Linked DNA regions of Struthio camelus. The protein of the gene in region 1 interacts with the protein of each later gene in a pairwise test. Links are inferred from orthologs where the notes say so. Each region holds a gene or a part of one and is shown in the gene's direction. Other genes may lie near its edges. The genes, in order: RINT1, FAM110A, LMO2 and DCX.

Region 1 (7,609 bases):
AGTCAACAGGAACCTCCCCTGATTTCCATGACATTTCAAGGACAGAGAATGGCATTACAATGACACGAGCCAGCTCTCAGTCCATGCGTCTCCTCTGGTCCTACAGAGCTGTATGGGTCAAGATTTCTCCAAAGATGCCTGACTCCATCCTCTTCCACTACTGGTAGTTTCTCTCCTCCTTGAACCTTGTGTCCAGGCACAGAAGCTCAGGAGATCTTGTTAGTTAGCCTGAAGCAAAGGAGACATTGTGTACCTCAGCCTTATCTCTGTCTGCTGGCACTAGATCACCCACATTTAGGAGCAGCCCCTCGTTATCCTTGTATTCTTTTACTGCTGATGTTGCAATTAAGCTCTTAATTGCTCTTGGTGTCTGTTGCCAGTTGCAACTCTAGTTGAGCTTTGGCATTCCTAACACCATCCCTACGTGCCTGGACAGTGTTTCTTTCTTTGTAGCCTGTCCTACCTTTCACCTTATGTATGTATCCTTGTTATATTTGAGCATAGTCATGAGTTCCGTGTTAGGCCGACCAGTCTCCTGGAAGAAGCAATCGGTTTGAGAATCTGAGATGAGGTGTGGCACTGAACCACGTTTATTTCATAGATTGAAAAGAAAAGCTGAAATTTTTAGCGTTCAGTATATTTATAAATGTGATTTGCCCTTAGTAAACTTAAGTTATTCCTCTTGAAACTTCCCAGTCAGACGGAAGTAATGCTGGAAATTGCACTGCAAAATAAATGCATCAAACTGCACTTTAGTTGCAGTATATCCCTGTATTTCCATTGCCAACCTCCTCCCCATCACGTGTACATATACACACTCTTACTTAAGGATACACACTCTTACTTAAGAATACAACCCTAATAAAATGACTCATTCTTCTGGCCATTTCAGTTAGAAATGCTTAGTATTCCTTATCAGCTTACTTTTTCAGAGGGCTTTTTTAAACTCATTTCAGTCTTTGCTGCTTTTTCAAAGATAAGAATGGGTATTCTAGCTTCTCTTGTTTTTTCCCCTATTTTTTTCTATTTTTCCTCTCCCCCCATATACCTGAGATTGTCTTGTGTCAATAAGTGACGTGTCAATAAAATATTTTATATAAGTTTTGTTTTCAGCTTAAATTCTGATTGTCAAGCAAGAGATTCTAGGTTACTTGACTCTACTAATCAGGTTGAATAAGAAAACGTTGGAAGTAATATGATTTGCGATAAATAATTTTCAACTTCCGTCTGACGTTTATCCCACATATGCTGAAGATCACTGGAAAACAAGGGAAGGAATGTTACATTAAAACATGGCCTCCGTTGAAACTGGCCGTACTGCACACTCTCTGCTTAATGTTTTCATTTCTTGCAGTTGGTGAGGCCTACAAGGAAATGCTGGTAGCCGACAATCTTGATATCAACAACATGAGGCATAAGATTAGAGATTATTCACTTTCAGGAGCATACAGAAAGATCATCATTCGACCTCAGAATGTCAACTGGTGAGTAGGAAGATAAAGGAAAAAACACTTGAATTGACAGTGTAGGGTATATATAGGATGACTAAGAAAGTACCATTAGATCACAGTGTGTACATGTAGACCAAAACATAAGTAAGAAGGAATCTTTGTTCATTTTCCTCACGTTTTTACACGGTTGAACTCGAGCCGCATTTCATCACTGATCCTCTGGTTCTGTGTGATGTGTTAGCGTCAGGACGTCTGTCTAGTTGTTACTATCCCGTGCAGTAAGGGCTTGCCTAAACACATCATAGATAATTAATTATTCATGCTGGAACCGCAATAGATAATACAAAACAGGTGTTTTGGCAATCTTTCTATGAGAAAAGTTGGTTTCCGATTGCCTGTGTGTGGATCGTTTGTATTATTTAAATGTACTAAATCACTATTATGAAGGATATGACCAAGTTGTCCTATGGCAACTGAATAAATGTCTTTTAAACAGGCTATTGTACAAATCTGCAGAATGACCTGATTACTGTGTTGCATAGAAAAGGATATGGAGGATTTTTGGAAGGAGACAAAAAATTCAAATATTTGAATTTTATTTTAGTTACTGCTGGTTTTTAGAGCTTATCTGCATTCCCATTTACTATTCAGCCTAGTAATTACATATTGAATGATTATATGAATGGAAGAAAGAGTAGAATATGTGTTTAAACCATTACAAAGACATTTAGATGGCTTTTTAAAAATATATATATATATTTTTTTGTTGTTGTTGTTGTTGAAGAATCCTTCTTAGAGTTGATGCCATTCTTTCTATAATTTCATAAACTACACTTCTTGTATAGCTGGAAATCCTGATATCCCAGGGGGGTAAAAAGCTGAGTCACGTAAAGAAATTTCTCACTAGTTCATTATTTTGTGAATATCTTCACTAAACAGACCAGCTTTCTATATAAGGCTTTATCAGTTATTGCACCATAAATAAATAACACCTTCCCTAATCTGTACTGGAGAATCATTCCATCTCAGTGATATTTTTGTAGCTGCCAAATTTAAATAAAGAAAAATAATAAAAACCTTATGTATATTATAAAGGGAGGTTGTTGCGTATGATGATCCTAGAATCCCACTATTTAATACGGATTTGGATAAGCTGCAAGGAAAACCACTACCAGTTCTTCCTACAGGTAAGTTAACATTTCTGCGGCTGTTTGCAAAATAGATGTTTGATTGTTGTTTTAAACTGCAACATACTGAAAGATCTTTTGGAGAACAGCTTTCCTTTAACAATACTATTAGGTAATGATATAGAAAAGGAGGTACTCAAAGTTAGGTGCCTGAGTAAGGACCCTTATTTCTCAAAGAAGTACAAGCAAACTCTTCCAGCAGTCTGTTGCATTTTCTTACACATCTCTGCAAAACGTGGTAAACGTCTCACCATAAATGTCTGTGAAATGCATAAAGAAAAGGTGGAATTAAGCCACAAATGGGCTATGTGCTTGAGCACATATTATTTGTGCTAAGTATAAGAGACTATTCAAATACTTAAAGTCAATGGAAATTTTTAAAAATGACTTAGGTCACAAGGTCTTTTGACTCTGCTTTCCAGAAAATAGAGAGACTAGGAATTCAGTTTTGAAAGAAGAGGAGTTTTTTCTTTTTAAAAAGAAAACAAAAATGCCCTACTCTGACAAATTGATCAACTATATAATTTTTGATAAATATTCCTCTAACATAGTCACTTCCTGCTGAGAGAAGATGTTAAATGGAAGTTATTTTATGAAACTTCACTTTATGCTACACTGTGGATTGTAAATGGAGTGTAAACTCACTTTTTTTCTTTTAAGTTTTGATGTCCGCTTTTGATGATATCCAGTATAAGCATTTTGTGTGGTCTTAACAGTCTATTCTTGTCTGTTTTTCCTCCTACCCCTGATACGACAGATGGTAAATTCAGGGCACTGAAGATGGCGTTCTCCCTTCCCCCATCCACTTACGCGACTATGGCAATTCGAGAAGTGCTAAAAATGGACACAAGCATAAAAAACCAGACACAGCTGAATACTACCTGGTTACGCTGAATGAACTGTAAAAGGAGTTAGATTTTATCACGTATAAAAAGTTTTACTACGTACGTGTTCGGGACAAATCTTTAAAGATCGGTATTTTTTAAAGTTTTTATTGGTGCAAGAAATTAACATTAAATCATTTGCAAGATGGTGGTTGTAATATAATGTAGCTCTTAGTGACTGATGCTTTTAATGAATGAATAAATTGCTTGAGCTGTAACATGACTGCGTCTTTAAAAAGAGGGCTTGTAATGGTTTCGGAGCTGGAGGAAGCTGCGCTTCGCTTGTCTGGAAGTACAGCGACGGTTGAATGTTTTCATGAGTTTAGCACAATTCAAACTCTTCAAACATACTAAATTTCGGATTAGGAAAACCAATTACAATAAAACTAAGATATTGACGAATATTCGTCATCAAAGAAGAAGTCTCTGTAGCCGTAGGATGCCGGTAGCATTTGCGCTGATCTGGTAGAGGATTCTGTTAGCGAGGCCTTTTCTGTGGGGTGATGATGGTGTACAGCTGTTTCACTTGGCTGTAGTCTTTTATTAAGAAAATATTTGTGCATATTTTCCTGCTTTACTAATACCTGTACTAAAGAACAGCTAAGGAAAATAAATTAACCAAAAAGTCTAGGTGAACGTCAGTAACTGTTTCCTCCAGGCGTCTTGGTGTGTCCGTTGCCGGCAGTGGATGAGCCGGACTCCTGGTAGGGGAGAAGAAAAGCTTACAAAGCCATTCGGAAAGGACAGTCTTTGCCTTCGCAATCCGTTTCTATACCAAATACGCAAACCCGCGTTGCTTGTGTTAATAAACTCATGGAAACACAAGGCGTCTCTCCTGTTGTACTTCTTCGTTGTTCAAACGCCAATTAAATCCTTGAAACCGGCCTGATGATAAACCGTCTCTAAAAGATTTTTTTTGGGGGGGGGGGGGGGCGCGCGTTCTTGAAGCGGCAGGCCTGTAGTTTGCCTGCAGGAACAAAGCTAGTCTCGCCCGCGGCCGCCCTGAGGCAGCGGAGGGCCGCGGGCCGCCCCTGAGGGACGAGGGCGGGGCAGGGGGCGGGGCCGCCCGCGGCGTTGGCCCCCCGCCACCAGGGGCGGGCAAGGGCGCACGCGCGGGGCTGCGCGCACGTGACCCTCCGTGGCGGCCGCCGCCCGCGGGCTTCTCGGCTGCTGACGCGGCAGCGGCGGGGGGCGGGGCTGCGCGCGCGCGCGCGCGCGAGGGAGCGAGCGGCAGGTGAGTGAGCGGCCCGCGGCGGCGGCGGCGGCGGTCCCCGCCCCCCGCCGCGGAGAGGTGCCGCAGGGGGCCCGGCCCGGCCCGGCTGTCCCGGTGGCTCGCGCGTTGGAGGGCGGCGAGGCGTTAACGGCCTCCCGAGCTGCTGCTGCTGCTGCTGCTGCTGCTAGGCGTGAGGGCCGGCAGCCCCCCGGAACGGGCCGGGAGGAGGCCTGCCCTTTTAGCAGAGCCCTGCTGGGCCGTAGAGTTGTTCTGAAGCGGTGAAGGGAGAGGCGAGGTGCAGGCGGAGTTGCGTGTTCGAGCGGGGGGGTGGTGGGAGGCCGGTGCCCGGTGTCGAAACCCTCTCTGCCCCTGTAGAGACCAGTGGACTTCTCGAGTGGTACTTGTTTTCATTTCTGCAGGCAGCCTGGGGGTTCTTACTACTCCCACCTCTTCCATGCAGCGCCCTCTCTCTCTCTCCCCCTCTCTTCCTGAGGGCCTCTGTTTTCTGTACACGCTCCTTCCCAGCTGCTCAGTCTCCCAGTTTCTTCTTGCTGGTGCGCTGTCCTGCTCTCCCAGCTTGGACTCATCACTTGCACCATCCTTTCACTCTTTCCTGTTGTCCATTTAATATGCTTTTTTTGTTTAATTAAAATGGATAAAGTGCAGGTGTATGGCCTATGCTTTTAAACACTGTTTTGAAATTCAGAATGAAAAAAATTGAATTGTAATACAGCCAAACAGTCATTGTGGTGTGTTGTTGTTGTTGTTGTTGTTTCACTGTACATAAACATCCTCTCAGTTTCAGGACTTGTTTTCTTTGGGTGCTGCAGAACGTGCAGATCATCACATGCCTCTTCTGCTGTTATACTCTATCTTTTTTTTTCCATTTATATTTCACTGATGCACTGACTTTACAGATCACATGCTTATTCTACAAGACCTGACTGGATACTTTGCTAGTCATGGGTCACCTCATCATTTGGCGTTTCTGAAACATCGTAAACTGCCTGAAAAGGTAATGTAGGTCATTGGATTTTTTCTTCGTTCTTAATAAAAATAAATGTTTCGTCCAATATTTTTCCTTGCTTTCCATGCTAGAAACACGTATACAGAAATATTGCTAATAAAACTCAATTTTAGGGAAGGTATTTTTTCAAGTAGCAGACGCATTTCACTTGGCTAGTTAACAGGTGATCGACAATGGAATGTATATTAGCAAGGTTCCCTTGTATGTCTTCTAAGCCATACCTAAGCAAATTGCCTCATTTAAAGCATTTTTTTTATTAAATATCGTATTTACTTTGCAATTTGAATTGAACTGTCCTTCTCATGGAAGTTTGTATCCTCAGTAGATCAACAATTGGTAGTACTGTCTTAGTGATGACTAACTAGAAATCGTATGATCAGTATTGCAGATAAAGAAAACATGGCAACCATTAATGTTAGAAAGAAAGGACTCACTAGAGATCCAGATCGCTGTGATATCCCATACTACGTTTCTGAATTTGTGGAAAGAGAAGTTGGCAGTGACTATGATTCTCTGAGGAAGCTAGACAACCTTATTGATAAGCTATCTGAAAATAAAAGGCGGTTAGAAGAACAGGTGAGTGTCTTTTCAGATTTTCATGGAAACGGTAAATATGCTGAATGATCGATTAAGTGTATTTAACTATATTGGGGCAATTTATTAATATCCCGTATGATGCTTTTCTGTATAGTGCAATGGTTTTATGTCATTTTACGCTTAATACTTCTCCCTAAATATAGGTACTTACAGTTTCATCAGAGGTCCCTAAAAGAATTCAGAATGCTTTAAAGAATGCAGAAGATTCTAAAAAGTCTCTTAGTCGGCTTTTGGAGGAAGAAACACTTCTATCGAGTTCAATCAGTAGCCACTTACTGAAAGCTCAGCCATGGATGGAGGATCTCGATGTACTCATTGGTCAAGTGGAAGAGATTGAACGACACCTGTCTTACCTGAAATGGATCTCACGAATAGAAGAGTTAAGGTAAAATTGAAAGACCTTTAAAAACTTCTTACTGATATTATCACACATCTTTTTCAAGGCTTCAGTGTTAAATAATCAGATTTGATAAACACACTGGAACTGGAAGTCATCTTACATGCAATTTGTTAATTCATTTACTAGTGAGAATTCGAGATTATTGTTCTGATTTCTGTCAACTTTTAAGAAGGAAGGTAATAGCTGACAGCTTCTTACACGAGAGAGAAAAGATGAAAAACACTTATGGTTTTTTTTTTTCAGTTACTATAAATTACGATAAGATAATTGAAGTGATACCTAAACATCTTGAGAAGAAACATGACACTTCAGACTTCAAAATTCTAATCCTTTGTCTTAGTGCACAGATCTTCATTTAGTGTAAGTGAACAGTGTCATGTTAATTCATTCCTAGCTTCTTTCAGTGGAGAATTTTTTGTAGTGCACAAAAAGAATTTCAGAAATTAGAAAGCATTGTTGGATCAAATTTTATATAGACAAACTTTAGTTGTGAAATATTATGCAGAAAACTGTAGAGGTGTATTAGGCCGGTCTTCCACTTTATGAAATTTGTTTTCAGTGTTGTTCTTGGAAGTGAGAGGAAAAACAGTTCTTTAAAAGGATTATTTCAAGAAGGTGTGCTTAAAAGAGTTTGAGACCTTCCTCCTTTCCTCATCTTCCACTCCTTTTCCTCAACAGTTTAATTCTCTGTGACAGACTCCTTTCCTAGGAAGCTTCAGATACGGAGCTTGGTCCATGAATCACGTCTGGGTATTGTGCATGTGTGCTCAGAGCGGTAACCTAGTTTATCTCATTATTAAAATATTTCAGATTAAGCAAGTTTTATCTTTGTTTCTGAATATATAGGTGA
Region 2 (5,733 bases), on another chromosome or scaffold:
AAGGGCTGGGAAATGCAGTCGATCTGGTTGTCCCAAGCCAGCCACCTTTGCGTCTTGTTAAAGCATGCGTAAGCGGAGGTTCAGGGTGTACCTGGAGGGAGGTCGGACAGTCAAGCACTGCGGTTCCCTTTGAGAAGGGCTGGACAAATACGTGTCCCAGAAAAACAAAGTGAGTTTTGCAAATAAGAGCAGGCCCTGCCGCCTGGTCGTGCCGGTCGAGAGCAGCAGAGCCGGGAGGGAGCTCCCCGGCTCCCCGGCACAACCGCACGAGCCCTTTCCTGGGAACCGCCGGCTCTCCCCGCAGCAACCTCACTGCCGGCGTAAAACCCGCCTCGGCGGCATGACAAGGACCCCCGAGCCGGGAGAGCGGAGGCGGATGTGGCAGCGTGTGCACCTCGGGCCGGGCAAACTCGGGGAGCCGAGCAGGAGGGGAGCTGCCCCGTCCCCACGCAGGGCAGGCCCGGCCAGGCATTAGGTGCCAGGGCAGCAAGACCTCTGCCGAGGTCTCCGGGACCAAACATCCCCCAAACCTGCCTCGGACCAGCGGGCCCGGGGCTGCGCCTGGGCTCTGCGAGCCGAGCGGGGCGCGAGGGTGCTTCGCCGGCGCCGCGCTGCCTCGCAGGGCGTTCTCGCCCGGCGCTGACTCAGAGCAGCGCGGTTTCGGCAGATCCGCTCCAGCACCCGCGAACAAGGGGGAGGAAGGTGAGGACGTTGCTCACGGAGGAGGAGGCTCCGGGGACGAGCACAACCCCCCGGCCGAGCGCGGGGAGAAGCCGCTCGGCGGCCCGCACGGTGACCAGCGAGCTGCCGCGTCCCGGGGCAGAGCCAGGTAGGTGCTGGAGGCGGAGGTGGCCCCAGCTGCAGCCCCGCGTGCCGGTCCCCCGCTGGGTGCTGCCGGGCTCGCTGGCCGGGCATCGCAGGGCCGGGGGCACCCAGCGAGGGGGCGGGTTGGCACCTCTCCCAGCCTGCCTTTTCGGAGGAGCGGCCTCGGGCGGAGGAGGTTATCAGATGCAGCAAAGCCAGCCCCGCTCGGCTGCCTCAGGCTGGGAGGGCGACGAGCCGGGGCCACGGCCTGGCATTGCCCGGGCACGAGCCAGGCTGGCAGCCCTGGCACCCGGGCCGCCGAGCGCCCTCAGCGCTCAGGGGACGCGATAACGTCGCTTTGTTTTCGGGGCGGTTTGGAGGGCGGCTTGCGCACAGCCGCCTGCCACGGCTCGGCGCCGCGGTGCCTGCTCGGCGGCCGGTGCCAGGGCTGGCGGCTCTCCAGCGGCAGGAATGCGGAGCGGCGGGTTGCGCGGCCGGCCGGGCCCCGTCGCCGCTGGCCGGCCCTCGCCGGCAGGGAAGGAGAGCCCGCGCCGTGCCGCAATCCCTCCGTTGGGCCGCGGCCGGCTGTGCTCTGCAGCCCTGCGTCCTCGTCCCCCGCCCCAGGGCCCCGGGGGGCACCTTGAGCCGCCCCCCAGGGCCGGGGCCGTGTTTGTCACAGAGCTGGCACGGAGCCAGGCAGCGCCGGGCACGCGGGGTTTCGCTGCGCGGGCGCTCCCGGCGCAGGGCTGAGTCAGGCGCTCGTGTCCCGCCTCGAGCGGGGCTGGGGGACGCGGGGCCTCGGGCGGAAGCTGACGGCGGTTCCTGCTCGCGGGGCAGCCGGGATGGGGCGCGGGGCAGGCTGCAGCTGGCCTTTCCCCCGGGGCGTCTCCCCTCCGCCCCCTCGTCTTTCGGCCCGCTAGCCGGGCCGTGGGGCTCGGCCGTGCCCCGAGCACCGCCTGGCCCCGCTTTCCCCCGGGGTCCTTCGGCAGCAGGGACGGGGCCCCGCGTCTCCCCGTCTTGCTCAGCGAGCGTGTCGGTGCTCGGCGCCGCCGGCAGCCCCGTTTGCGGGGCGCGGGGCTCCCCAGAGGGGTGCAGAGAGCCTCCGCCGGGGCGCGGGGCCGGGGGGGGCCGAGACCGTCCCCAGCTGTCCCCGCCGGCTCCCCGCCGACACTTTCCGGGTCAGCTGGCACTGTCGCCGCGGGGCGGCGAGGCGAGGGACGGCGGCGGCCAGCCGCGGGGGGGGGGGGGGGGGGGCGGCCGGGACCCCCCGCCGCCTTTGCAGCCCGGGGCCGGGCAGCGCGGGGGGGCCGCGCCGAGCACGGCGCCGTAGCGCGGCGAGCAGGAAGTGGTGCGAGCAGGTAGCGCGGCCGCAGGTGCGCTCCGCGCTCCGGGCTCCGCGGCCGCCGCCGCCCCGCCAGCGCGCCCGGGCTCCGCGCACCGCGCACCGGCACCGCCGGCCCGCCCGGCGGCCGCCCCCCGCCCGGTAAGTCCTGCGCTTGCTCGAGCCGCCTGCTCGCACGGCGAACCGGGCAGGCCGGGGCTGCCGGCGCCCACCCGCGGCCCCTCGGCCGGGCTGCAGCACCGCCCCCGCCGCGGCCCCCCGAGCGCCGTGGGGGGAGCGGGAGGGGTTCCCGCGGCAGCTGCGGACCGGATCGGCGGGCTCTCAGCGCGGCCCCCCCCCCCCCCCGGTGCACCCCCCCCTCCTCCCGGTGCACTCCCCCGGTGCAGCCCCCCCCCCCCCCCCCGGTGCAGCCGGGACCCCGGGGCTTTGCGGGGCAGAGCGGAGGTTGCGCCCAGCGCGGAGCAGGGCCGGAGGCGGCCGGCAGGGCTGGGGCGCTCGGAAAGCGCCGCCGCGGTGGCGGTCCCCGCTGTCCCTCCCCGGGAAGGACGCGGTCGCCGAGCCCGGCCCCGAGCGCAGCGGCGCCGGTGGCCGCGGGGCGGGAGGGCTGCAGCGGGTGCGGCCCCCCCCCCCCCCCCAAAACCGCCGGCGGCCGCTGCCCCTCCGCACCCTTGGGGAAGGCCGCTGCGCCTGTTGGGCTTGGCGGAGGCCCAAGGACATGAGGTTCCCGGGTCTCCAGCGCGGATCCAGGGCTCCGCACGGCTCCTGGCACATGCCGGATGGGAAAACATAGCAGGAAACCCCCCCGGGGGCTTTCCAGAGGGGCCCGAGGGTGGGGGGCAGCGAGGCACCCCGCGCGCTGGGCAGGGAGCCCGTGAGCTGCTCCAGCTCCCCTGGCTCCTTGGGGGCTTTCCCCACTCGTGTGGGGGCGCCGGGGTCCCCAGCACCCTGCGCTGGGCCGGCCCAGCCTGGCGTGCGGGAGCCCCCGTCGCGCGGCCTTCGCCCCCCCGCCTCCGTGGCTGCAGCTCCGGGCGGGCTGCAGGGTTGCAGATCCGCCTGGCCGAGGGAAAGGGCCCGGCAACGTGCCTGAACCCCGGGACGGAGCCGGCCCCACCACGCGCCCTCCGGGAGCGGGGTTTCGTGGGGCAGCCGTGCGGCGTCGGCGGGGGACCACGGGGGGGCCGGGCTCTGGTTTCCCCCCCTGCAAACCAGCAGCATCCTTGCTCCCCGCTTCCCGGAGGAGACGGGGCTCAGTTGGCCGGAGGAAGAGCGATAAGGCAGCCTGCCCCCCAGCCTCGGAGGGGGCGGCGGGACCGAGCCGGCCCGCGGCGGGGCCGGGCACCCCTCGGCCGGCGGGCTGGGGGCGCCAGGCGTCCCCGGGGGCTGCGGGGCAGGCGATGCCACCACCGCTCGCCTCCCTCTCCTCGCTCCGTCGCTGGGCTAGCTGCGTTTGGGGCGCGCTGCCGGCGGCCCCATTGGCCAAGGCGCCGTTTGAAGCAGGCTTGCTGCGCGGATTGGCCGGGGGGACGTTTCGGGGACGCCTCGGTGGCTGGCGGAGGCGTGGTCCCTGCCTTGAAATAGGAAGCCGGGCGCTGGCCTCGGCGGGCTGCGCGGCGCAGACCGAGCGGCTCCGCACAGCCCGCTCGCGCGCCCGCTCGCGCCTTTGTCTGGTGCCGGCGGGTGGGCGAGCGAGCGGCGGCGCTCGGGACGGCCAGCGCCCGGCGGCCGCGGGGACCCCGGCCCACGCCGCCACCCGTCACACCGATCCCTCTTTGCAGCCGGCGTCGCGTGGCCCCGGGCCGGACGCTGCCCGCAGCATCGCCGCCCGACCCGCGCCGCGGGATCCGCCGCCCGGGCCCGCGTCCCGCCTCGGCACCGCCGCCGGGCGCCCCCGCGGCGCGACCCTGGATGGGTGCCGCGGCCCGGCGGCCGGGGGCAGCGGGCGGCGTGGGACGGCGCGGCCGGCCGGGACCATGCCCGTGGAGACCCTGCAGGCCGGCGACGTGATGAAGGGGATGGCGACGGCGGCGGCGCCCTTCACCTCGGCCATGCCCTTCCGCATCCTCAACAAGGGCCCCGAGTACTTCCGACGGCAAGCGGAGACCGGCGCCCGCAAGCCCAGCGCGGTGGAGAGGCTGGAGGCCGACAAGGCCAAGTACGTGAAGAGCCAGCAGGTCGCCAGCACCAAGCAGGAGCCCGTGAAGCCGCTGCTGCTCAAGCAGCCCCTCTTTGCGCCGGGCGTGCGCCGGACCATGCTCACCCCCAGCCGCAGGGCGCCGCCGGGGCCCCGCCGCGCCGAGCCCGCCGGGCCAAAGACCTCCCTCAACCTGGAGATCCTCAACAACCTCATCAACATCTGCGACAGCCCCTTCCCCAAGGCGGAGAGCCCGCTGGGCCGGGAGCGCAAGTGGAAAGCGGAGGGGCCGGAGGGGCCGGGCAGGGAGGCGGGCGGGCAGGCTGCGGCGCCGCGGCCCCCGGGCCCCGCCGACAGCACGAGCAAGCTGTCCGAGGGCTCCGCCGGCTGCAAGCCCTCCGGCACGGTGGCCGTGCGCCGGGTGGACGTGCGGCCCTGCGGGGCTCTGCGGGCCAGGGTGGCCCCCGCCGTGCCGGCGCCGGCGTCGCCCGCCCGCAGCAGCGGCGTGCCCCCCGCCGGCTCGCTGAGCTCGCCCGGCCGCAGCCCCCGCGACGGGCGCCCCGACAGCGCCCGCCGCCAGACCCTGCTGCACCGCTCCAAGTCGGACCTGAGCGACCGCTATTCCCGGGCCACCGCCGACCTGGAGCGCTTCTTCAACTACTGCGGCCTCGACCCCGAGGAGGTGCAGGACATTGGCGTGGAGCGCTTCGCCCGGGCCGCCTCCGACATCGTGTCCGTCAAGTTTCACAGCGTGAGCACGGCCAGCTCGGAGGGCGCCCGCTCGCAGCGCAGCGCCGCCACCCTCGAGGACCGGCCGGCCGAGCGCATGCCCTACGGCATCTCCGTCGTCGAGCGCAACGCCCGCGTCATCAAGTGGCTCTACGGACTGCGGCAAGCCAGGGAGCCCCAGAAGGTCTCCAACGTATAGTGCCGGGGCCGAGGTTTTGAGCGAGCGTGCGTGTGCGTGTGCGCCGCGGATGCGGGATGGGGAGGAAACGATGTCCGAGCCCTCGGGTGGTGCAGGCTGTGCCCCTGGGATGTCTTGACTGTTATGGGACCCTCAAATTTGGCCCCTGGCCCCTCCTGCCCTGCCCCTGTCCTACACTGGCAGTTGCAGATCCACAGGCTGGGCCCAAGCAAGAGGGGGGATTTCAGCCAGGCTGTGGCCAGGCGGGTGCTCAGGCACTTCGTGGTGGCCCTGTGTCCTCCCCGGCCTGGGGAGAGCTTTGCTTCCCCGTGGATCTGGCTCTCTAAAATCCCTAAGCCAGCAGCGAAGAGCCGGGTCGGAGAGCAGATGGCCTGTCTGCAGCTGCTGAGCTCGCGCTGCGCTGCGGGGTGTGCGGCCGCGCACGGGCCGGCCCCGGGGCCGGGAACGCGCTGCCCTGTCCCTCTCCCGCGAGCGGCCGCGCACGGGCCGGCCCCGGGGCCGGGAACGCGCTGCCCTGTCCCTCTCCCG
Region 3 (7,645 bases), on another chromosome or scaffold:
AGAGCCTCCAGAGACATTAAGGTTAGTGCCTATGGTCTTCACTCCAGGAAAACTCCCTGTCCTTGCTATCACCACTTCTATCCCCAGGAAAGTTAAAAAGAATGCTAGCAGGGAGCTCCTAGTACAACTAGGAAAAAGATGTAGTCTTGCATATGAAAAAGCAGCGCTCGTGGAGAGAACACATGTAACATAACTTCTTGCCTAAAAAAGAGTTTTCCATGCCCATGAAAAAGCAAAAAATGTATTTTTATTGTATTATGTGTTGCCTTTCACTTCTGCAATGCACTGCTGCTGCAACATGGCAGCAATATGATTTGCTATTGATCCAGCATTGATTCTCCAGTCAAATGTCCTCAGCAGTAGCTGACTGATATTTCTCCTCAAGTATTCTGTATTCTTTAATAGGGACCAGACATGAACAAACATAATTGCTTCAGAGCCTCCCAACTTGTTTTAGAGTATCAAAATGGTGTTCAAAAAACCCAAAGAAAAAACAACTTTACATTTCTTTGGAACGTCAACCAAAGACCTCATTATGCCAAAGCTTCAGCTCAGCTTGTGGTGAGAAGGAGGAAGAATTCTTCCATTTTGCAAATAGGTAAACTGAGGAATCAAATGGAGCAGTGACTTTTTGAACATCATATGGTAGATCAAAGTGGCAAAACAGAGCCAAGATTACAGAGGTCATTATCTCTCTTTCGTCCCCACCTCTCATATTAATCATTAGACTCTAGCCATGGTCTTGACTTTTCTACCCCATAGCAAGTACTAACAGAAAATCTAGACCACAGTCATTGAGATTTAATTCTTGTGTCTGTGCAGAGACTTAAATCTTCATCAGCTGCATTTTAGGCAACAAACATTACTGACTATTGAGGGCAGCAAAGTTAATCTTACTATTCTCAGACTTCTCCAAATGCGAGTGAGCTGAAATAGTTCAATAGTTCAATACCGACATCCATCAGCTCTAGGGGAAATAAAGCTAGGATATACTAAAGATGAAATAAGGGCAGGAACAACCGGAGACTGAGCACAAGAGGGAATCCTGGGACCTCAAATGAGCAGAGTTCCAAAACAAAGGTGAAAACATTCAGCAGTTTCAAGAGGGGATGTTTCTTTGGAAAGAGGCACATTTAGTTATTTGTTTCAATGACATCACTCCTAGAAACAATGCAGGTTTACATAAAATAGTCTTACTGAGAAATATACAGAAAAGTCTAGTCAAATTATTCACAACATTTTATTGCAAGCACTGAAAGCTAAATGCAAACAATAACACTGGATTTGATATTAGTAATGCTCCAAGAATTTGCCTATAGTATGATCTACATTCATAAAAGTTAATTGAAATCAACATTCATCCCTCAGTCTGTCAATGAATATAAAAAGCTGCACTAAATAGAACTGGAAAACACAGCCTCGCAGAGAAAGGGACAATGGAAAGAAAATCCCCCACTAAAAATAGTACTAGTCTTTTTGTCCCTATGCAGGAAATGTAGGCACCACAAATACTAAAACTGAATAATGTTTTGTCTTTATGAGCCTAATTCTGCGGGAGGCAAAAGTAAATCAACCACAGATTCTGTTGAGGGAAGTAAACATTTACAGATGGGAAAATTGAGGCACAGAGGTACTAAGGGACTCTCCCAAGTTGAAAAAAAGAAGCCACTCTTGATTACTGGTCACCTGTTCTGGTGGAACACAAGACTCCTCTGGTGAAGATGCCAAGTTTCACTGCCCAGAGCGAGGGTCTATTATATATAAACCTAATAAAAGAAAATTTGAATTGTCCCAGAAAATAATACATTTTCCTTCCCCAAAAGATGTTGGAAAAAACAGTTCCTAGGTTAGAATGCAGAGAACCTTCTTGGTGGGCTTTCTACTGTTAGTGCACTTGGAGCTGCCAATAAATACCACCACAGAAAGTTTGAAGAAAAGGTGCTTACAGAAATTCCATTCAGGCGAAAAACCAACAACAGTTTGGTACATACCCATCAGTAGAGGACACTGCTTCCTGGCAGTTTCTGTTTATCTTCTGCCACACTGATGCTTGCAAAGCAAGCTTTTGGTTTAGTTTGAAATTCCACCTGATGCATGGAGCCAAGTGTTACCTTGCGTCTTTGCTGTGCAGTTTGTTCAAGGTACCATGACAACTTTACAGCTCATGCAGTATTTCCTGATTACTGTTTGTTTAAGCAGATTGAGTTCAAGCACTCTCCCAATAAGCACAGTGGAGCAACACATTTATTATGTTATGTACCAGCAAATTGACTACTTTTTCACTTTTCCTAGTTCTTCTCACACTACTTTGCCTAGCATCTCTCCTTTATAGGAAAGAAAGAAAACAACGAATAATCTTGGGGTCATCACTACACATCTTTTCAGACAAGCAGAGAAGTGGTATCTCTCGGAAGCATGCAGAGATATCAGCACTATCAAAAGTAGTATCCACCTGAAGAACTGACTTTCCTTAGGAAGTTTGTTCTGGATCTGAAAGCCTCAGCCAAGCTCTGCACCTGACTGAAAGGATGACAAAATATGAGCAAATAGTGCTCTTCAGCTCCTTTATTTACACACTATTCCATTGTTTTAGGTAGAAAAGCTTCCTTCAGTTAAGGGATTGATCTTGCAAGGCATGAAGCATTCTTGCCCTGTCCAGCAAAGCACGTAAACATGCACTCAACTTTGAGTATATGAAATATCTCATTAGCTTCAGTGAGGTTATCTGCCAGACCTCAGTGAGCCTGATCAAATCGAGGAATATAGGTGTTGCAAAAGATTGAAAAATTACATATTCCAGTAATCACTGGCCACTTTATCTTTTACCTCCTTGGTTTTAGGTTGTTTTTCTAAGGAAGAAAGTAATTCCTTATGTGTCAATGTCTACGTGTCTATCCCTCACCAAAACTTTTGAACCAGTTGGTCTCTTTTAGATAGACAGAGTGACAGAAGTCTTAAAGATATTAATTTCCTGCAAATTTGAGGAAAATAAGTAGAAGGGAGAGACTGCAATTAGCCTGCCAATGTGACTCGGAGTTTATACCTTATTAGACCTTAAGACACAGCCAGGAGACACCAAGCTCACAGAACTGTCTTTCTTTTTTAAGTGTTTGAAGTCTTTATACAAGTTTTTGGTCCCCCATTAAATTCAATTTCTGATCTCTTTAAACCTTCTTAATAAAGTTCCCCGTGGTTAAATATTTCTAACAAAGAAGCTTTTTCCTTTAACAAAAACATTTGGTTATAAGTGTGACTGCCATACTGTAATAGCTTAAAATACAGTGGCGATAACTTTTTTAAAATATAAGAATCTCCTTTATCTTTTTTATATATCTTTTTATTGACCTTCTTTATCTTTTCTGTTTTATTTATCTTTTTTTTAAAGAATAAGAAATCTTTCTTAAAGGATACAAATTCTTTTTTGAAGAATAAGTGTTCTAATGACCAGTGATGGCTCTGAAGAATTGTGAGAGCTTGGTTAAAAGCCCCCTGAAATGAGTAACAGTTCTGCTGACATCACTAGTCTTTGAATCAGGCTCATTAATGTATTTCAGATATTATATCCCTAGCTGCCAAAAAAAGCTGAAAAAATGAGAATCTAGTCATAAAAACAGACATCAAATATATTTCCGATCTGGGAATTAATATAGAAGGTAAGTATTTCTACTGCTATTCACTAGTGCTTTATTACAGATCTTTCTTACTGTATCTAAAAGAATTAACAGGGCAGGCAATTCATCTCATCCAGTATTTTGCCGCCAGCTATGGCCAGTATCTAATGCCACAGAGAATGGAAAAAAGCTATAATTGCTGTAATAGTGTTCACTCTAGCACTGTAAATCAGTCCTTTCCGGGATGTGCTGTGCTGACGGAGAGGAGGGGGGAGGAAGGCTAGGAGGGGAAATAGAGATGTTCAAGCAAGACTTTCCCATCTTTAGCTTCTCTGTGATTAATTACAGATCAATACTTTGTACTCTCGAGCTTTTACAGCTCATTACCATCAAACAGCATCAAGATATAAATTTGTTATATGACTTACCAAGAACTAGGTGGGGACACCTAGGAGTAGACACCCATAAATGTTCACTATAGAGTAAGAAATGAGACAGGTACAGTTTAGCTGGCCCATTTGAATCCTAGGTAGAAAATAATACTTAGCTTCTTACCTAGTGTCTTTATGCATAGATCTCAAATACTGTACAAAAGCATGAGTGCGTGTGGGTATGTGCATAGGTAAGAGAAGGAGAGGAAGAGAAGAGAGACCACGACGCTAGTGCTTTGGTAATGTGTGGAGCTAAGAGGCCAATAAAGATGGAGCCAGACATTTGAATTTTTTAAGCCCTTCGGATCATTTTCAGGTTACACGACTATCCGGGCACCCCCGGTTTACTGATAAAGTATTCCTAAATTAGAGCGTACTGTGAAAATGCAAAGTCAGCTCCCAGCCCTAGCTCTGGGGAGACGAGCTCTGTCTCTTTAAGAAACCGACTGAGTCGTGATGCTGCTGTTTGTATTGCTAAATCCCCCGGAGTCCAGTTAAGAAATGGGCAGCTGTCTCTTTAAGTGCGATTTCCTTCTATTGTATTTGAATCGTGATCAGGAAAAAGGAAATGAAACCAGAGACTCGGGGCTGAGCTAGAGTAATAATAATGATGCTGGTCTCCACGTTCGCAGCCGATGCGCCCCTCTCCCGAGCACGTTCAGAGCTGCCCAGGCAGCGAGCCTGAGCGGAGCGCAGCGCAGCGCAGCGCAGCGGAGGGAGCCGCGGGGTAGGCAGCAGCGGCGGCCGCGGCAGGCGGCGGCCGCCGGCGGGGCCAGCCGCAGCGGCGGGAGCTGCCCGCCGCCCAGCGCGCCGCAGGAGCGGGGCAAGCATGGGAGGTTAGATCCTAAGGGTCAGCCTGGCGGAGACGCAGCCCGCAGCACGGCGGCCGCGGCGGCAGCAGCCCCAGCCCATATTTCTTTCTCTCTTTGGTGTTGCAGGAGGAAATCCTGTGAATGTCATTGGGGGGCGGAGGGGGAACTCAGCTGGTGAAAAGGCTTCAAGAGCAGACAGCCTTTGCGGGGGCAGCGGGGGCAGATCCCACCACAGGCACACTACAAAGGAGCCATCCCTGCCAATGTCATCGGCCATCGAGAGGAAAAGCCTCGATCCTTCCGAGTAAGTGGCTTCTTTTCTTTCAGCCTCCCCAGCCCTTCCCGTGCCTTTTGATCCTCCCCAGCGCTGAGGCGCGCTCGGCAGGGACTTTACGAGCTCCCTCACCACCGTCATTGTGTGTGTCAGCCCCGGCGAGCTGCTTGGGGCGTCCCTTCCCGGCGGCGGGCAAGGGGGCTCGGAAGCACAGCAGCCCGCCGCTCTTTGCCCCGGCTTGCAGGCGCCCCGCGGGAGGGAAGCCGCGCCGCGCCGGCCGCCAGCCGCGGGCGGCAGCCCCGCCTAACAGCCCCGGGCGGCAGCCGGCGCCGCAGCCCCCGGTGGCAGCTCCAGCCCGGGCCCGGGGCGGGCGGCGGCGGCCGGGCTGCCCGAGCCGCCGGCGCCTCCGCGGGCTGCGGGTGCGGCCGGCGGCCCCGGCCCCACGTTGAGTTGATCGGAGCCCCCAAGTTCTGGGAAATACCCGCTGGGAGCAACCTCCGGGCGCAATCCCGCACGGGGCAGGGCATTTTCCGCCCGGTCTCGGGATGCAGGGCTGCGGGGAACGACTGGGGGAGACGGAGGGCATAATGCTTTCCAGAGCTTAACTTGTCTTCATTTTGAGCCTCGCTCTCTGCCCCATGTTTGATCTGTCCAACTCGCTGTAGCTGATTACAGCGAAAGGTCGGAGCTGTTATCTGATGGGTGCCCAACTTCCACATTTTCATGATGCGAGGCACTTTGCAACTTTCAAGAGCTTGTACGAACTGCTTTGGTGGGGGCAGGGTGTTCTGCAAAGGCACTGGCCATGTACAAAGACTTGATTGACGGGAAGGATGCAGAAGATGAGAATTTTCCTCCCTATTTTTCACATTCATGGCAGGGACTGACTCCCACATTATGACCCTCTTTTTCAATCTGTGTTCAGCAGCCGTCCCATCCCTTCCGAATCCAAGCACATGCAGTCACCATACTTGCAAGAGGCACGTTCACTCAGAGTACCACCACGTCACTTCAGCGCTGTACATTTGAATAACTGCAGTTACAGATGTCTAGCATCATGATAAGAGAGAAGAAAAACATTGTAAAATCCCCATTTTCAGATAAGGCTTAAAACATTACTCTTAGTGAACTTTAGTCATTTCCGATTTGTTTCACTTGGGCCCTTCCCTTGAAGCCACAAGTGAACACATGAAGTGTTTCTTATGTGGATTAAATCAGTTCATGCCATGTCACATTTGATGTTTTGCATTTGTTACATTTTTTATTTCATATTGTTTTTAAGAAATGATCATCCTAACTTCCCAGGTATATGGCATCCAGGTTTGAACTACAAAAGTTTTAGCCGTATTTATTTATTTACCTACTTTGTGTTCTATTGACTAAGTACTGGCTTTACAATGTATGAACATCAAAATGCTAATGCTTAAAACAGAAATTCTGTTCCGCGTAAACATCCGTCAGGCTGTTCCGGACTTTAGGGCATTCAGAGACTGGCTAGTGATTCCTGAACCATCTATAAGATTAAAGATTTTGGGGTACATCTGAAGCTTCAAATAAAGGATAATAATGTCTATTCCTTTACAGTTGCATGTTCTATTGGAAGGCTCTCAGAGCTTGTCCGTGGGTAGCCCACACATTAGGAAGGGAAGCATGTGGAATAAACTTTGAAAAAGTGGGGCCTGATCACTTACCATGATTCTAAGAGCAGACAGCCTACAATTTTAATGCAAACGCACGGTACAGAGAGCTAGAAGGGTGGGATATTATAAGAAAACTTTTAGGGCACAGCAGTTTAAACTTTGGAGAGTGAAAAACAGAATGGGATATAATCAGATAATATCTTAGAGCTCAGCTTGTCTAAATAGAAACTGCAGGATCAGTTTCTCAGCATGGAAGTTTTCAACTGCTGGTCATTTCTGCATGCTGAAGAAAGTAATTTTTGCCTAGAAAACTGCTGACCCAGTAAATAAGCTTTGACAACAGTCTACATAAACCCACTTGAAGCAGTAGTAAAATAATTTTTCCTATGGCCTGCTGGAAACTCGGTGTAGCCTGATTCTTTTCTGTTGGTGTAGTTGCACTCTGCCCTCACCAGCCTGAAGGAGGACAGAACAGCGACAGAAACAAAGCATTGACAGACAGTGTGCGACAGCAAGAACTGAACAATGTCTTAAACAATTTGGGGCTACATCTGCCAGTCATTGAGCTCCTTGGTCAAGATCCAGCAAAGCAGACAAGCATAAATGTACAAACAAGTGACTTCCTTGTCACTAGCCACAGGTTTAAAATTAAGCAAGTGCTTAAAGGATTGATCCAATAGTCTTTTTATTAACTTCCCTGGGGTTTGGATGAGGCCCTCAGTGGCAGTGTCAGGTCATTGCAAACCTTGCAGAACTGAGCTCAGATGCTTTCCTTTAATTTTTGCTGATCTTTTTTGGCAGAAGCTATAACATTACACGAAGAGGCAAGGAAGAGAGCTCCTTAAGAAAGTTGATTTGAAGAAAATTACTGCTTTAT
Region 4 (7,969 bases), on another chromosome or scaffold:
TAGCTAACAGTACTGTAAGAGCTATTGACATTTATATTTTCTAAAATATCATTAAACGAGATACATAAAACCAAGGATAAATTGTATTTTATTATTTTTATGCCCTTTCAGTGAGTTTATTTAGAGAAATACATTATCATCTGCCTTTTTGGATGCATTTGGGTAGAAGAAAATACTTGTGAACAAAACCAAGATCATAGGAAGCATCTTAGAAATACAGATTCTGTTGCAGATATTATGCATTCATTAAAAATATCATGATTTTGAAAAATTGTCTATTTGCAGCCCTGTGATCCCGTGAAATAAACTTTTGCATTGTTTGCTCTCACATATTTTTTGTGCAGTCACAGTCACCCAATGAGGCTGGGAAAAGATCACAGCCCGACAACTTATGAATTCTTATGGGTGGCACTGTCTTTTTAGGTGCATGTGCTGACTCTTGTCCAGGATTACAGCCATTACTGAAGTAAGGAAAAAACATTCTTACTACAGCTGCAGTGCTACCAGTCACTCACGTGAAGATTTTACAAAAAAAAAAAAAAAACCCACCTTCTGCAATGGAGTTTTCATATTGTGCATAACCTTTGAAACCTGAACCAAAAAAATGATGATTCTTCCTTTTGCAATTTTGTTGCAAAGGATGATTCCCTTCTGTATAGCCAGGATTTGATCTAGATTTAGCCTACATAAAGATCGACCCCTCACAATTATAAATAGGGCTAGATGCTAGGTATGCTGTCCAGTGTTCAGCATGTGAGTGAGCAGCATTTACCTTCACAGGGCTCCAGCTGAATGGAACATTACTTCACATATGTCATTGATGACATCTTGTTAGGTCAGAAATTTCTATCCGCATTGCTGCTGCAACATCTCTTGCTGGCCTAATCAGCAACTCCTCTGGAATGGATGCATTTCATTAGCAAATGAACAAATCAAACCGGAAGTCCACATTTGCTTACTCTCCTACCTCATTTGACATAGGTCATGTCACTCATAACCCATTACAGTAAGGCTGAAATGAAAAACCAACTTGGAGTTCAAACCCTGCCCCCTTGACACTGTGGCCTTTTAAGCATAAAGCCAGATGATTTAAATTGTTTCCATTTAATTCCAGTTAAACGTCAGTTGGTATTAACAGACATTTCCTTTGAGTTGTTATGAACAGGATTTGTCACAGTTAGTGGATTTTTCATTATGGAAGGTCTCACCAGAGGAAAAAAAAGTTTTATTCTGACATTTTTATTCTTCTGGATTGTTTATTCAAACCCAACAGCTTTATCCAAGAACAAAGCAAACTTTTCTGGCTGTCCAGGAGGAAAAGGTTTCAAAGTTGACAAGTCCATTGACTGCAGTGTCTCCACAAGAGTGCTGTAGAAACAAACCAAAACCAAGTATAATATGTTACTACTTGGGGAGAAATTCACCCCAAGGGGGAATTTTTTCTTCACACAGTTGTCTCTCTATTCATATGCATGCATAATCCTTTAGCCCAGAAATGAAAATAAGGACATATATTGAAAGGAAGAAGAGACCCCACAAACCAGTGGGCCCAACCATCACTGGCTCATAGGCAGCAATGCTGAGGAAAACGCACTTCAAGCCACATCACAACTTTCATAAGCAGCCTCAGCTCTAATTTTTTATCTTCGGTGGCTGCAAGCAACGTTGGGAGACTGAATAAGGTTTGAGGATCGCTGCCATAAACTGTATTAGGAAATTCATCCTATTTCAACACATAAGTAACCACTTAACACATAGCCAGAAAAGACAGCTAAATCAATCCATTAGCTTGCAATTTTCAGACTGCAAATAAGGCTGAAAAGCTAAAATACTGTTCAACAAAGAAATAAAAATCCCTTCCTACCTCTGAAGTGGTCAGAAGCACTGAGAAAATAAGTTTAAGAAACTGGCCTAATGTAAATTAATGAAAGGTCTGGTCTTTTTGGAAGGCTCTTCTGAAACAGAATCCTATTTGCAGGGCAAAGGAACAAGATGCAGACTAAATAATGTGAGGTGCATTTCCCCTACCTTCAATTTAAAGGTCATCTATTATTTATGGAGTGCCATAAATCACATTCATGAAGAGAAATGGGAAGATACAGTTGAAATAAAGGAGCATCAAATGAAACTAACAGGGCCCAGGATCAACAAACAAAAAGGCCTTTTTTTGTCTAAGTGGCATGCAGTAGATCTGTCAAACTCTGTCAAAGGATGTTGTGGATGCCGGAAGTTTGGTTAAGAGAGTAGCCTGAGTAAGTACTTGGAAGACAGATGTAATGAAAGTTACTAACCAACCAACCAACCAACATCTAATTTAGGAAAACCCTGAAGCATTAGGGTATTAGAAGGAAAGTCATAGAAGAGAGTCCCATTTCCTGTTCTTACTTTTTGCTAGGTATCTGTGTATGGCCACTGCACACACGTTACTGAGCTATATAGCCTCCTGAGTTGAATCAGTAAGGCCGTTTTCATGTTTTGTTCTAAATACTCGAGACGCATAGATATAATAAAAAATGAAGGTATCCATACAGTCATCTCTAGTGCCCCTCACAAAGAAAACCCACATAGAACTCCGTTTTTTTCATTTTACTAAGTCTGCAGGGAGCAATATATTTCTTATAGTTCATGGTTGGGAACTAGGCAGTATTATTTCTAGCTTTGAGAAAGAATTAAGAGGTGAGAAAGGGAGGGCAGAGTAAGAGAGGAGTTGTTAGGTACCCCTAGGATGCCACCTGACAGTTACCTGTCACTCAAATTCAACCATGGTTTAGACTGCTTTTTTTATTTTTTTTAAACTGGAAACATGTGACCTCAAAATAAAAGTTACATTAAAATTAATCTCAGACAAAAGGCTTGGTAGATTTGGTGGAGACAGCACCAACTGTTGATCTATCTACTATGGAAAAACATGCCTTGCAAACAAACAAAAAACTAGCTTTCCTGAAATGTCTGTCCTGCCCTTACTACTTAGGTGGGGAAGTTAATTGTGGTATTTGGTCAATGTGATTTTGTTACAGAGAAGGATGTGAATTTACTTATTACGTTCTCAATACTGTAATGACCAAGCTACGGTACTGAATACCTCTTGTTCAGTCAGGATCACCACAGCTGCTTCATACCTGCAATTACAATAGAGGACATGTCCATCTCTGTGGAGTTGCTTTGCCAATTCAAGCTGATGGTTGTTCATCAGCTTTTCGTTTATTACTACTATTAGTGGTTTTCCTTCTTCTAGCGTCTCCAAACAGCTACCTGCACCTACAGAAGAAACAAAAAACATGATCAGTGCTTTCACCTATAGATCAAACTTCATCCTACTGGCTCTTGCAACATGAGAGACTCCTGAACCTGAGCATTTAATCCATTTAACTCTAGCTGTGGACCTGAACTTTTAATGCTAACAGAGTCAGAGAATTACAGAAACGGAAGCTGCCCACGCTACCGACTTTCACATCTACCCACACGAGAACAGGCTTGGCAAACTCTCTGCACGGCACTCAGCTGCCAGTGCGCTCTACCTGCATGGCTTATGACCAGGTCTGCTCTCCGCAGGTCCTCAGCCAGCGAGTCCTTGAAGCGGAAGGCCTCTAGCGTGAAGGCCGGGGTGCTCACCGGGGCCGGCTCCTGCACCCCGTGGCCGATTTGGAGGACCAGCTTGCGGTACCCGTGACTCTGCAGCACCTGCGGCAGGAGGGAGAGCGGCAACAGTGCTCAGCAGCGAGCCGCAGAGCGGAGCACCTGTGGTGGGGCTGCCCCTGGTGGGCACCTGGTTGGGCTGACCCCAGCTCTGCTCCTGGGTACCCCATGGCACAGGGCCACTGCCATGGCCAGGGGGCACACGCCACCCCCTGCCTCATGCTTTATAGCCCCCCCAAGTCCCCCTGCCTCACAGCCCCTCCAAATCCTGCCTTGCCTTACAGCCCCCCTAAATCCCGCCTTGCCTCATAGTCCCAAGTCCCCCTAAATCCTGCCTCATAGCCCCCCAATCTTGCCTTGCCTCACAGACCTAAATCCTACCTTGCCTCATAATCCCCCTAGATCCCACCTCACAGCCCCCAAATCCTGCTTTGCCTCACAGCCCCTCCCAAATCCTGCCTCATCTCACAGCCCCCCAAATCCTGCATTTCACAGCCCCCAAATCTTGCCTTGCCTCATAGCCCCCCCCAAACCCCGCTTTGCCTAACAGCCCCCTCAAATCCCACCTTGCCTCATAGCCCCCAAATCCTGCTTTGCCTCACAGCCCCCCAAATCCTGCTTTGCCTCACAGCCCCAAATCCCGCCTCACAGCCCCCAAATCCTGCCTGGCGTCACAGCCCCCCCAAATCCCACCTCACAGCCCCCTCAAATCCCACCTCTCTCCTCACAGCCTCCCCAAATCCCATCTCTCTCCTCACAGCCCCCCCAAATCCCGCCTCACAGCCCCCCAAATCCCATCTCTCTCCTCACAGCCCCCCCAAATCCCGTCTCTCCCCTCACAGCCCCCCAAATCCCGCCTCTCTCCTCCCCGCCCCCCGCCGGGGTCGCCGGCCCCAGGGCGGGCGGGGGAGCGGGCCCGCAGTGCGCGTGCGCCCGGCGGCCCGGCCCGACCCGGCCCGGCGCGGCGGGCGGAGGCCCAGGCCAGAGGGCTCGGCGCTGCCTCACCCGCACGGCGGCTGGCGAGGAGGCGGCGGCGATCAGCTCCTCGAAGCTGGTGGTGCCCACGGTGACGAACACGGACTTCATGGCCGGCGGCAGGGCCCCGCCGCGCCTAACCGTGCGGCCGGCGAGGCAGGGGGAGCGGCGGCGGGGGAGGGGGGCCGCCAGGGGGCGCCCGGTCCCGCCCCGCCGCTGCCGCGGAGCGGACAAAATGGCCGCCGCGCTGAGGGGCCTGGGCGGCGCCGTCCTCCCCCCCCCCCCCCCCCCCCCCGCGATGGCGGCGGGCTGCACTGGGAGCTTGCTACTGTCCCCTCTCGCTAGCTACTTTGTCTCCTTCGGTTTCCTTCCCTGAGTTTCCTCTGCGGTGAGGAGGAAGCAGCCCCCTCCGCGGGAGAAATCGCCGCAGCTCTTTAAGGCCGGTTCTTTATCAAAAAAAGAAGATCGAGAACGCAAATTTTTTTTTTTCTTAAAGCAAGAAAACACCAAGATGGCCTTTTTCTTAAATGTCTTTTCTCACGAGAACTGATTAGCCCAGGAGGCTCGGGTTAACGCGGCTGTAGAGCTTCTGGGGCCCGCAAACCGTACCGGGTATGGCCCGCGCCCGCTTGCCCTGCTCCCTGGGCAAATCTGCTGCCGCTCGCTCGCCTGAAGGAAAATCTGACTCGTTTATTTTTAACCGTTGCAGTTGCGCACTAGGAAGACGTTTCTGAGGTTGAAGCAGGGTAACGCAAGCCCTGCTGCGTGCTGGTGTCAGTCCCGACGGCAGCCGGGACCCGGCGGCAGCCTGCCTGGCGCCCGGAGAGCTGGGACCCCTCGGGGTGGTGGGGCAAGAGCTGCCCAACCCCAGGAAGGCTGGCACAGTGGCAGGGTCCCCGCGGGACCGTTTGAGACGTGCTGTAAGCGAAGGAAGCAAAAGGTACCTAGGGCAGGCGGTCTAGGACCGAGACAAGAAAATAAGGCGAGGAAACTGAGGGAGGACAGAAGCAAAAAGACCAGAGTTCCTGTCACCATCATCTGCCGACACTTAAACTGCCTTATTTTTTACAATATGCTTTTGCTGAACTGGTCACCTCAACCTATTCCTTTCCATTCCGCTTTTCTCCTTACAGCCTTGCCACATGTGAAAGTCACAAGCCAAGCCATAGAAAATCAGGGTATCAGGAGTCCTTAAGAAATACTTGCAGAGTGCTTTCTCTTGGCTTTATGCTGTCTGGGCCTGTTAATTTCCACTGTAATTCTGAGGACTAGGAAAAAAAACCCTGAAATTCTCAGGTAATCTCTTGATACCAACTGCTGGGGCCTTATTCAAATATATTGTTTATTTTAACACTAGTCTCATGACTCACCAAAGCATCACAAAGGGGTGGTAGTGTATGAGTAGTCAGTCATGTTTTGGAGGCAGGATGGATGTTTCATACCTCTGATGCCCGAAGCAATGCCACATGGCACCTGTAATGGTGGCCCACTGGTGATGGGCCTCACTGGGGCATACCCTTCCCTTCCAGGAGCCCAGCTGCACTGCTGCCACAGCTGGTCAGCAGATCACCTGTGGATATGAGTCATTTTAAAATACTCACTTTAAAAAGCAAATTCTGAAAGTCATTTAAATACTTGTGTTCCTCTCCTACCCTTGCCTTTTGAAAGATACGTGCTCAGCATCACTGAATACAATAAGGTTCCCACTCCTCCCTACTGCCCTTTAAGTACACATTTTTCTGATGCTGTTTCAGGCTGATCTTCCCACCTGTTACAAGGACTGAGGAAACATGCTGCCATGGGCAAGAGCTTATCAACTCCCAACATGACACCATCCCAAGAGCTAAGGAACAGGGAATCAGAGAGGAGCTGAGGTGGGAGGTGAAGGTTTCTTCTGAACAAAGCAGCGTGCAGTGTTAAGCCACCTTAAATCAATAGCAAAGACGAAGTCACCAGCAAATTTCTCATCTCAGGTACGTTTCCCCTTTGTGATGAAAACCCTGCAGTGTTGTAGTTTCAAAGTGAGACATCACATCTGATAACACATGATCTTGGCCACTGAAGGACATAATAATCCTTTACCAGTTGCACAAGCTGAACCAGAAGCGTTAAGTGTAAAGCAACATATTTTTTGACAGAAACTACTCAAATTAGACATCTAAACATACTTATTCTTTGAATTAGATTTAATAGATGAGGTTGCATCTACATTTATTGCTGATTGTACAAAGAAAGAGGCAGAAGAGATTTAGCACTCTTAAGGATACTTCTAATTGCCATGTTAATGGCTCATTCACAGTGCTCATTAGCCCCCTATTGTTTTCATTTGACATAATGAGCCACACTGAAACTCATTTATTGTTGATAAAAGCAAGTAATGCTGACAGCAGGATTGGGGGGGGGGGGGGGGGGGAAGGAAGAGAGGTAGTATCTGATTTTGGGAGATATGTTGTGGAGTAAAACCGATGTCAGGGCCCTAAGAATCCAATAGGCCTCAGCAGCCCTCACTAGCCTTGTCCTACCCTTGCTGCTCCCTAAGGGCAGGTGAGCTGGGAGCAGAGCATGGCCAAAACACAGTCCAGGAAACAACATCATCAACAGGTGCAATTCCACAGCGCCAGAGGCAGGTGAGGAGGGCAGGGTGGTGACAGCAAACAGGTCCTGCCAAAGGCAATGCAACAGGCCAGGTCTAAGGTCCATCCAGGAAATCCAAGCAGCAACTCAGGACCAGGGTTAGGAGAAAATGCACCTCTGATGCAGCTCAGCAGGGAACGAGGGCCCAGCTTGGGAGTGAGTGGAGGCCCCAGGTGAGGCTGGTCAGGGCAATTAAAGCCAGTAAGTGCTCTCAGGGCCCTGACAGCTGATGGATATAGGAAGATTTTGGAATGAAAAGACGGATGCTAGGTTTATCAGGTGTGACAGAGGAGGGTTAACACATCAATAAACCTTTCTGAGAAGAGATAAGGACAGCTATTGAAGAAATGTTTTAAATAAAAAAAAATTAGGATAGAACTTAATATGTTGGAATGTGTTCCTGTCTTTGTCATTAATTTATATTAAGCTAGGTACTGTGGTTTAGCAAATTACTGCTCCTTTGTAGCTGGGGTGCAATAACTCACCATGTGCATGCTATTTTTCTGCCCAAATTGCAAAATAAACTCACCATTACGGTGAGTTAAGTTCACGCATTCATTTTGCAGTTAGCTCAGGTTTACAGTGTTTGTACCTCAGCTGTGACCTTGCTTTCAGCCATCCACTCATAGCTTGAAGTAAGGCACTCTAAAGAAAATGCTCCATGCATCAGCAGCCAATTGTACTGTCGTTATTTGTTCTCTCAAACTTCAGCAGAGTAAAATAT

Evidence for each region.
Region 2: the proteins of RINT1 (region 1) and FAM110A interact in binary tests that used the Homo sapiens proteins (3 or more experiments, as listed by UniProt). The two-hybrid records come from large-scale screens. The link is inferred for Struthio camelus from reciprocal best matches to the Homo sapiens genes RINT1 and FAM110A.
Region 3: the proteins of RINT1 (region 1) and LMO2 interact in binary tests that used the Homo sapiens proteins (3 or more experiments, as listed by UniProt). The two-hybrid records come from large-scale screens. The link is inferred for Struthio camelus from reciprocal best matches to the Homo sapiens genes RINT1 and LMO2.
Region 4: the proteins of RINT1 (region 1) and DCX interact in binary tests that used the Homo sapiens proteins (3 or more experiments, as listed by UniProt). The two-hybrid records come from large-scale screens. The link is inferred for Struthio camelus from reciprocal best matches to the Homo sapiens genes RINT1 and DCX.

What each region holds. Positions count from the first base shown.
Region 1 is NC_090942.1:15,467,541-15,475,149, forward strand, and holds the start of RINT1 (RAD50-interacting protein 1), read left to right. Parts: upstream 1-4,606; 5' UTR 4,607-4,756; intron 4,757-4,813; exon of another isoform or gene 4,814-5,030; intron 5,031-5,611; exon of another isoform or gene 5,612-5,652; 5' UTR 5,653-5,750; intron 5,751-6,142; 5' UTR 6,143-6,161; coding exon 6,162-6,338; intron 6,339-6,502; coding exon 6,503-6,744; intron 6,745-7,609. Other genes in the region: PUS7 (pseudouridylate synthase 7 homolog), read left to right, coding at 1,355-1,484, 2,547-2,638, 3,396-3,532. UniProt on the Homo sapiens protein: Involved in regulation of membrane traffic between the Golgi and the endoplasmic reticulum (ER); the function is proposed to depend on its association in the NRZ complex which is believed to play a role in SNARE assembly at the ER.
Region 2 is NC_090959.1:18,340,593-18,346,325, reverse strand, and holds FAM110A (protein FAM110A), read left to right. Parts: upstream 1-4,065; 5' UTR 4,066-4,116; coding exon 4,117-5,205; 3' UTR 5,206-5,213; downstream 5,214-5,733.
Region 3 is NC_090946.1:33,638,153-33,645,797, reverse strand, and holds the start of LMO2 (rhombotin-2), read left to right. Parts: upstream 1-4,629; 5' UTR 4,630-4,871; coding exon 4,872-4,878; intron 4,879-4,980; coding exon 4,981-5,158; intron 5,159-7,645. UniProt on the Homo sapiens protein: Acts with TAL1/SCL to regulate red blood cell development. Also acts with LDB1 to maintain erythroid precursors in an immature state.
Region 4 is NC_090952.1:8,237,622-8,245,590, forward strand, and holds the start of DCX (neuronal migration protein doublecortin), read left to right. Parts: upstream 1-4,963; 5' UTR 4,964-5,907; intron 5,908-6,365; 5' UTR 6,366-6,584; intron 6,585-7,969. Other genes in the region: UDP-N-acetylglucosamine transferase subunit ALG13, read right to left, coding at 1,259-1,368, 3,120-3,258, 3,519-3,681, 4,642-4,722. UniProt on the Homo sapiens protein: Microtubule-associated protein required for initial steps of neuronal dispersion and cortex lamination during cerebral cortex development. May act by competing with the putative neuronal protein kinase DCLK1 in binding to a target protein.